2 linked regions of the Caenorhabditis elegans genome follow. The protein of the gene in region 2 purifies or fractionates together with the protein of the main gene of each other region. This does not show direct contact. Each region holds a gene or a part of one and is shown on either strand. Other genes may lie near its edges.

Region 1 (3,755 bases), 9.5 Mb from region 2:
CCAATGAAATGCGATAGAAACGCAAGACAATATATCTCACCCGACGAAAGATGTCGCATTAAACTGATAAGAAAGCCTTCCGGGGCCTGAAATCGTACTTTCGCGATAAAGAATTGCTCTTTCTGCGATGTGAACTCCCGTTACATGGTAACCACAATGAAAAACATACATAAAATTCGGGCCGCCCGATAATACATCTCGATAAAACGTTATCGGAATATTCACAAGACTCATGGAGTCGACTTCACACGAAGTTACATACCTTTCACTCGACGAAAATATTCTTCCTTTGGACACGGTCCATCAAAACATGACTTCTTAACGCGCAAAATACCAAAATAGCTTGTGAGAGATAGAGATAGATGTGAGAGATAGTGAGAGATAGAGTAAAATAGGGAGAGGGTGCGCGAGTGCACGAACCGGAAACCGAAAAATTAGAGAAAGTGATAAACGAAAAATTACAGAGGAAAAGAGCGTGGATAAACTAACAATGCTGGAAAGAGCGCGTAAGAGAGAGGGAAGAAACAAATGCGAACATATTTAATCTCCTAGACGAGAGAAGGAACCCCTGAAAGGAGTAGAACACTTACTGAAGCACCTAACAGCGGGGGAAAAAGCCATTGAGCCTCAGAAAGTACTCTTCGTAAGGATTACATGCCAAAAACTGAGAATTTTGATGATTCCTCCTGCAAAATCTGGCATACGCGCAGATAACTCTTGGAAAACGGAGAAATAACCCCCTTTTTATCATTACGAACGAGAAAAACGCTTAAAAACGCAACGGAATCAAGGAAAATCGATAAAAAACCTTAAAACTACTAAAAATTCGATAAAAATACAATAAAAACAAAGAAAAATCCAAAAAAAATCGATGCAAATCGATAAAATCACGTCCTTTTTCTTTACCAACACGTAGAATGACGAAATCTCGCCGCTGCGCGCGAGGAAAGATGTCGTCGCGTCGAGACCTGCCTCTCACTAAAGGCGATGCGCTTTTAAGCTGTCGCTTCACTTTCTCGGGAAAACATACAAATCTTCGGCCAGAAAACTAATGTATTAAACATTGCCACGTATCGGTAAAATCATTTCTAAATTTAATTAATTTCTACAGCTCATTCCAATGGGTTATAGTGACAAAAAACAATGATTTCAGGTCAAATATATAGTTTTTATGAATAAAAAATCATTCTTCGATCAATGATGTTTTAGTCTTAGCCATTTATCCATTGACCTCGAGCCACAATGAACGACATTCCCTCAAATTTTGAATTAAAAAATCATACATTTTCAGACTGAAATTCCGAGAAAAGTAGCCCGAACTTTTTTCTGAAAAAGTTCCTAAATACTCATCAAACATTCATAAACAGTATTTAAACAAAAAATCCCAAGATAACACTTTTGTCTTCAAGATATTCAGGTTGAAAACTAGTGTCCTGAAACTTGTATTTCGGCTCCAAAAAATGTTTAAATCCAAAAAAAAGTTTCAATTTAATTTTGCTCTAATTTGCAAATGATTGCGGGTATTAACGTAAAAGCTAATTATCTGTTTTATCTTCTTAAGGACCCAAAATCCAAGTTTCAGGACATTAGTTTTCAACCTGAATATCTTGAAGACAAAAGTGTTATCTCGGGATTTTTTGTTTAAATACTGTTTATGAATGTTTGATGAGTATATAGGAACTTTTTCAGAAAAAAGTTCGGGCTACTTTTCTTGGATTTTCAGTCTGAAAAATGAAGATGAGGATTCGAAATTCACCTGTAATCTCCATGCTTGTTTTATTTTTTTGTCCGAAAAAATTTTGTAGAGGAGTTATAAGCAAAGGTAAAAATATTGAACGTTTTTTCTTGTACAGTTTTACTGAAATTACAGCTTGAAACACATTCCCTCATGTATCAGCCAAAAATTCAATTCCATTGGAAAAAAAAAGATTTCACGTAATATTAATTTTTTTTTGAAAGGTCAAATTTCGCTGCTTATGTCAAATTTTCTTCGGCCATCTAGTGTTTGACATTCTGTGAGTCCCTAAAACTTTCATAGAAATTAAAATTACAGAAACCGTGACCTTTTCGTTATAAAATAAATAAAAATTCCAACACTCCTTCTCTCAGAATTCACACTTCCAATCATTAATTGATTCAAAAACCGTCGATCAAAGGGAAGTTTCATAATACTTTGCAATGAGTAGGTTGATTTTTATTTTCGTTCCGAATTTCTTCTGTCTTCCAGGAATCAAAATAATAATCGTTTTGATAATTATAACGGTTAATCGTGTTGTCAATTCGGATACTTTCGAAGGTTTCTTGACTGTTTCAGAGCTTTAATTTCAATATATTTTGTTCCAGAAGAATCCAGTTTCTTTAATGTGATGTCATTAGATCCACGTTCCAAACGTGAAGCTAAAGGTTTGTCAGTCGAATTACAGAAAAACAATTTTTACGTTGTATTTGTTGTATATATATGTTAATGTATATTTTGCGTGTCTTGCATAGGCTTAGGCTAACAAGGGAAGTCTTTAAAGCGGCCCGTAGATTTGGGGTTCTCATGTTGATATTCCGATAGAAGAGTGTTAGTTTTGATCTCTCCAAACAATTTAGCTGCCCAAGTCAAGTTTCAGCAAAGTTATGACATTTTGAAATTTCAGTTAAAAACACCATTGAAATCCACTGTCTTCAGCCTATTGTGGTGGGCGTCACATTTTCGGTGTTCACGCAAGCTGATATTTGTGTGGATAGCACTGTAAGACAGTGTATTTCAATGGTGTTTTTAACTGAAATTTCAAAATGTCATTACTTTGCTGAAACTTGGCTTGGGCAGCTAAATTTTTTGGAGAGATCAAAACTAACACTCTTCTATCGGAATATCAACATGAGAAACCCAAATCTACAGGCCCCTTCAAAGACTTTCCTTGTAAGGCTTAGGCTAAGACTTAGGTTAAGTCTTATGTTAGGCTTGGCGTCAGTGGCGAGCGTTAGCTCGCTTTGACAAAAAAGAAAAATTCCTAGAAATTCCTAAAAATCCGAAAAAAGTCAAATTCGGGTCAATTCTCATAAAAAAAATAGCCAAGAAAGGACAAAAAAGACAAAAGTTAAAAAAAAAAAAAGTAAAAAGAGTTCGCGGGGGGTTGGAAAGCTAAACTCGCATGATACGTATAATATACGTAATAATTAATAAAAGAAAAATGACAACAAATAACTTTTTAAAAAAATCATTCATAAAAGTTGCAGATGACAACTTGATAACTGCCGTTGAGCGATTACAATTCGCCTCACGATTGATCAATGCAATGTACCTACAACAAGAATTGACAAAAGGAACCATTCCATCAATGAATTTAACTTTGGATTTGTTCAAATACGATTTCTCAATGGATCAACTGAATGCAATTGACTACAGTTCGCTGGAATCTAAACTGATAGCGCTTAAAGGTTTGGTTGCAAACATTCAAATATTTGAGTATGTTTTTTGTTAGGCAAATACCTTTTTTTGTTTTTTAAAACTACAGTCTACTCGTTCACATAGGGCAGGCAGGTTCCAGGCAGGCCCTGAAACCGCGCCTATCTACCATGGAAGACCTATTTTTACATATTACGATGCAATTATGCAACTATGTTTTCCAGGTTTCAACTTTTCACTACGAATATCTTTTCACTACGAATATAAAATTCAAAAGCTGAAATTTTGGTTTCAAAAAATCCACTGTAGTAACAGATTAGGTGGTAATAGAGTACAGGGGTGGGCGGAAAAAGATTATATA
Region 2 (3,755 bases):
AATAATGTATTGTTAGTTTTAAAGGGTTATATACTGCCCCGTGGATCCAAATCCTCCAGCTCCACGCTCGGTGACTTCAAGGCTCTCCACTTTTGAGTAAGTACAGAGTGCAATTTGTTCGCAGACCAGCTGTGCAATTCGATCTCCTTTCTTGACCTGCAAAGAAATCATACAATTATCGAAATTGTTTTTTACAGTTTCCGATACCTCAAAGTCATTTTCGCCGAAATTGAAAAGAAGAACTTTGACCTCTCCACGATAGTCGCTATCGATGACACCTGCTCCAACATCGATGAAATGCTTGGCAGCCAGTCCAGATCGAGGAGCAACTCTTCCATAGTATCCGATTGGCAATGCCATTTGAATTCCCGTCGAGACACACAACTTCCCACGGGCTGGAACTGTGACATCTTCAGCGCTGTACAAATCAGCTCCAGCAGCTTCGGCTGATCCATACGTTGGCATCTGAGCGTTATCGTTGCTCTTTGTGATTTGGATTGTTACCGATGTGGCAGAGGTTTTAATTTGTTCAGTTTTAGATTTTTTCAAAGCTGGTTCCGCTTCCATCGTATTTCTGAAAAGATAAATATGAGTATTCAAAGGCGAAAATTTAAACGAACTGTCCAGTCGATCCAAAGCCACCAGCTCCACGGTCTGTATTCTCCAATTCACTTGCGGCTTCGTAGACACAGTGACCGATCTTCTCACAAATCAACTGAGCGATTCGATCTCCTTTTTTGACCTGAAGAATAAAATAAAGATTATTTTGAATGACAAAAATATAATGTCACCTCAAAGGCATTGTCAGTGAAGTTGAAAAGGAGAACCTTGACCTCGCCACGGTAATCACTATCAATGACACCAGCTCCAACATCGATGAAGTGTTTGGCAGCAAGTCCAGATCGAGGAGCAACTCTTCCATAGTATCCGAATGGCAATTCCATTTGGATTCCTGTCGAAACACAACATTTACCATGTGCTGGAACAGTTATGTCTTCAGCGCTGTACAAGTCGGCTCCAGCTGCTTCTTCAGACCCATATGTCGGTGTTTGAGCATTCTCGTTGAGCTGAGTGAAGCGAACAGTAATTCGTTCCAAATTTGTTGCGGGGTTAGCCGTTTCGGAGTTCATTGTAGATCTGAAATTAACAGGTTTGAGGAAAATTGAAAATTAATATTGCTTACTCTCCAGTTGAGCCGAATCCACCAGCTCCACGATTCGTGGATGGCAAACTCTTAACCTCTTCGTATGTTCCGTTTCCAATCTGCTCACAAATCAATTTAGCAATTCGATCGCCCGTTTTCACCTTAAATATTAAAATATTACTATGAATTCTCAAATTAGAATGACACCTCAAAAGCTGTGGTGTTGAAATTGAAGAGTAGAACTTTGACTTCACCGCGATAATCACTGTCGATAACGCCAGCCCCAACATCAATGAAGTGTTTGGCAGCAAGACCCGATCGTGGCGCAACTCTTCCGTAGTATCCAATTGGAAGTTCAATTTGAAGTCCTGTTGAAACACACAGTTTTCCATTAGCCGGAACAACCACATCTTCAGCGCTGTACAAATCGGCTCCGGCAGATGAAATTGAACCATACGTTGGCTTTTGAGCATCACCAACCATCTCGGTGAATCGAATTGTTATATGAGACGTTGATTCAGCTTGCATTTCCATTTTTGATGGCTCGGTGACGGTTTGGACGCAGGGAGCAGCAACGGTAAGAGTCATCTTCCTCAAAAAAGTAAAAGTTGGGAGATATAATCGAGGTTTGAAGAGAAAATGAGAGAAGGACATCAATTGAACTTCAGAACAACGCAAAGAAAAATCAGAGTTTGGCGCGCTCGTATTCAATTTCAAATTACTATTTTCGCGCGCTTGAAAGTTTCAGCGGGGCGCATTTTTGCATCATTGTTTGTGGTCAAATGTAGGCTGTTATTCGAAATGAAAGAAAAAGTAAATATTGAAGGAAAACACTACCGAATGTCTAGAATTAAATTGATATAGAACAACTGAGTGAGAAAATTAGACGACGGGCATCTGTAAATTCTAGTGGTTTCATTCTCGTATCTCAGAAATGTACAGTATTGTTGTCACATCTCAGAATTATTTAATAGTAAGTAAAACTGTAATTCGATCAAACATTGTTCTGAAAATATTCTCATTCTGATCAAGAATCAGTTCCAACAAGGCACTTCAATATTCCCAGAGAAATTGCATACCATTATGAATTTTGTAAAAATCGTGGAAGTGACACATTTGATCAAATTCATTTTTACATCCATCTCGTGATATGATTTCAAATTGATATTTGTTGTTGCTGCATAGAACATTCTACAGGCACAAAGCTCCGCCTATCTCCCCTCAATGTTCCTTTGTTCACTCTGAACACATAGATTTCAAAGTTTTCTTCTCACAAAATGCCGTCGCAAACAATTTTTCCTAAGAGAACGAGAAGAAATAGAACCATACAATCTTTGAACAGACTCCCCGAGGATGATGGAGATCCAACAATTACAGTAAGTATTTTTAGTAGAGCTTTCGCTCGATATGAAATAACTCAAAACTTTTCAGGGAATCGCTATCATTTTGGGAATCGCTGAACTGATTGTCAGCTTCCTGTTCCTCATTTTCTCTCAAAACTACTATTTTTTTGCCCAAGTGAGCGATATTTATAAACATAAGTAATTATATTTTTCTGGTTAACAGCTTGGTCTTCAACTCTTCTTTATGGCCTTGGAATCTTACAGTTTATTTGTCGGATTTCTCGTTGTGGCCTATGCCGGAGCTTTCGAGATCATTATTCTTCTAGTTTTTTGTGGATTTGAGACTTTCAAACGTAAGCAAAAATCAATCCTATGAACTTCATAAAATCTTGATTATTACAGCTGAGAGATCCCTCATTCCAACCGCTTTTCCAGGAATCACTGAAACAGGCCGCCTTTGGATTATCATTGCCGGATATGCTTTGGTCTTTTGTTAGTTTAATTTGATTATTTGGAACCTTAAAACTGATTAGAAAAGACAAACGCATTGAATATAATTTCTAGGGTGCGGATTACGTCTTATTTGGACTCGTCGAGCAATGCATTACATCTACATGGCAAGATACGAGAAACGAAGAAATGATGCGCTTATAGCACAAATGACAGCAGAGGGATTTGTACAAGTTTGAAGTTCAACAAATTATCTAGAATTGATTAATATTTTGCATTTGTATTTTTCGTTTCGTATTTATTGGAATAATTGGTTCTTAATAGTTAAATAAAAAGTATTGAATCGCATCGCGTAAAAAAAGTTAAAATTAAAGTACTTAAGAATCGAAACATCGAAATTTGCAAATTAATTTGTGATGGAAGCTATAAATATGTTGCTAGAGACCAATGAAATAACAGAAAGATATGTGCAACTTATTTTTAAAATCTAAACTTTTCTCAATGAAAAAAAACACGTTTAAAATCTGAAACTTGCAATGAAAAACCAGAAAGAAAGCGGAAAAGAAAAAAGGGCAAGCAGAAATATAAAACAAATTTGAAGGCAAATACCGTATAAATTTTTGTCGTGGCGAGACCCGCTTGCTCTACATCTCCGTGTGCCTTAAAAATTCGAATGTTTTTTACTTTTTTTCCAAAGCAACTCGCTTGATTTCTTTCTTTTTACTTTCGTTTTAGCCACTTTTCAGGTAAACCCATGAGAAAAGGAAAGTTTTTGATCGTCAACGAATCAATCGAAGAGTGCGTCGACCGCAAACTAC

The links. The genes of interacting proteins can lie anywhere in the genome.
Region 1: the proteins of dut-1 (region 2) and Y48G1C.5 fractionate together in Caenorhabditis elegans (co-fractionation; one large-scale study listed by BioGRID). This does not show direct contact.

Annotation. Positions count from the first base shown.
Region 1 is NC_003279.8:62,445-66,199, reverse strand, and holds the start of Y48G1C.5 (Tyrosine-protein phosphatase domain-containing protein), read left to right. Parts: upstream 1-2,133; 5' UTR 2,134-2,178; coding exon 2,179-2,182; intron 2,183-2,227; coding exon 2,228-2,296; intron 2,297-2,343; coding exon 2,344-2,403; intron 2,404-3,225; coding exon 3,226-3,426; intron 3,427-3,755.
Region 2 is NC_003279.8:9,583,398-9,587,152, reverse strand, and holds the start of dut-1 (dUTP diphosphatase), read right to left. Parts: upstream 1,737-3,755; 5' UTR 1,733-1,736; coding exon 1,352-1,732; intron 1,306-1,351; coding exon 1,184-1,305; intron 1,138-1,183; coding exon 792-1,137; intron 743-791; coding exon 621-742; intron 575-620; coding exon 208-574; intron 157-207; coding exon 19-156; 3' UTR 1-18. Other genes in the region: K07A1.13 (uncharacterized protein), read left to right, coding at 2,422-2,520, 2,576-2,662, 2,711-2,840, 2,890-2,979, 3,052-3,176; K07A1.1 (uncharacterized protein), read left to right, coding at 3,692-3,755.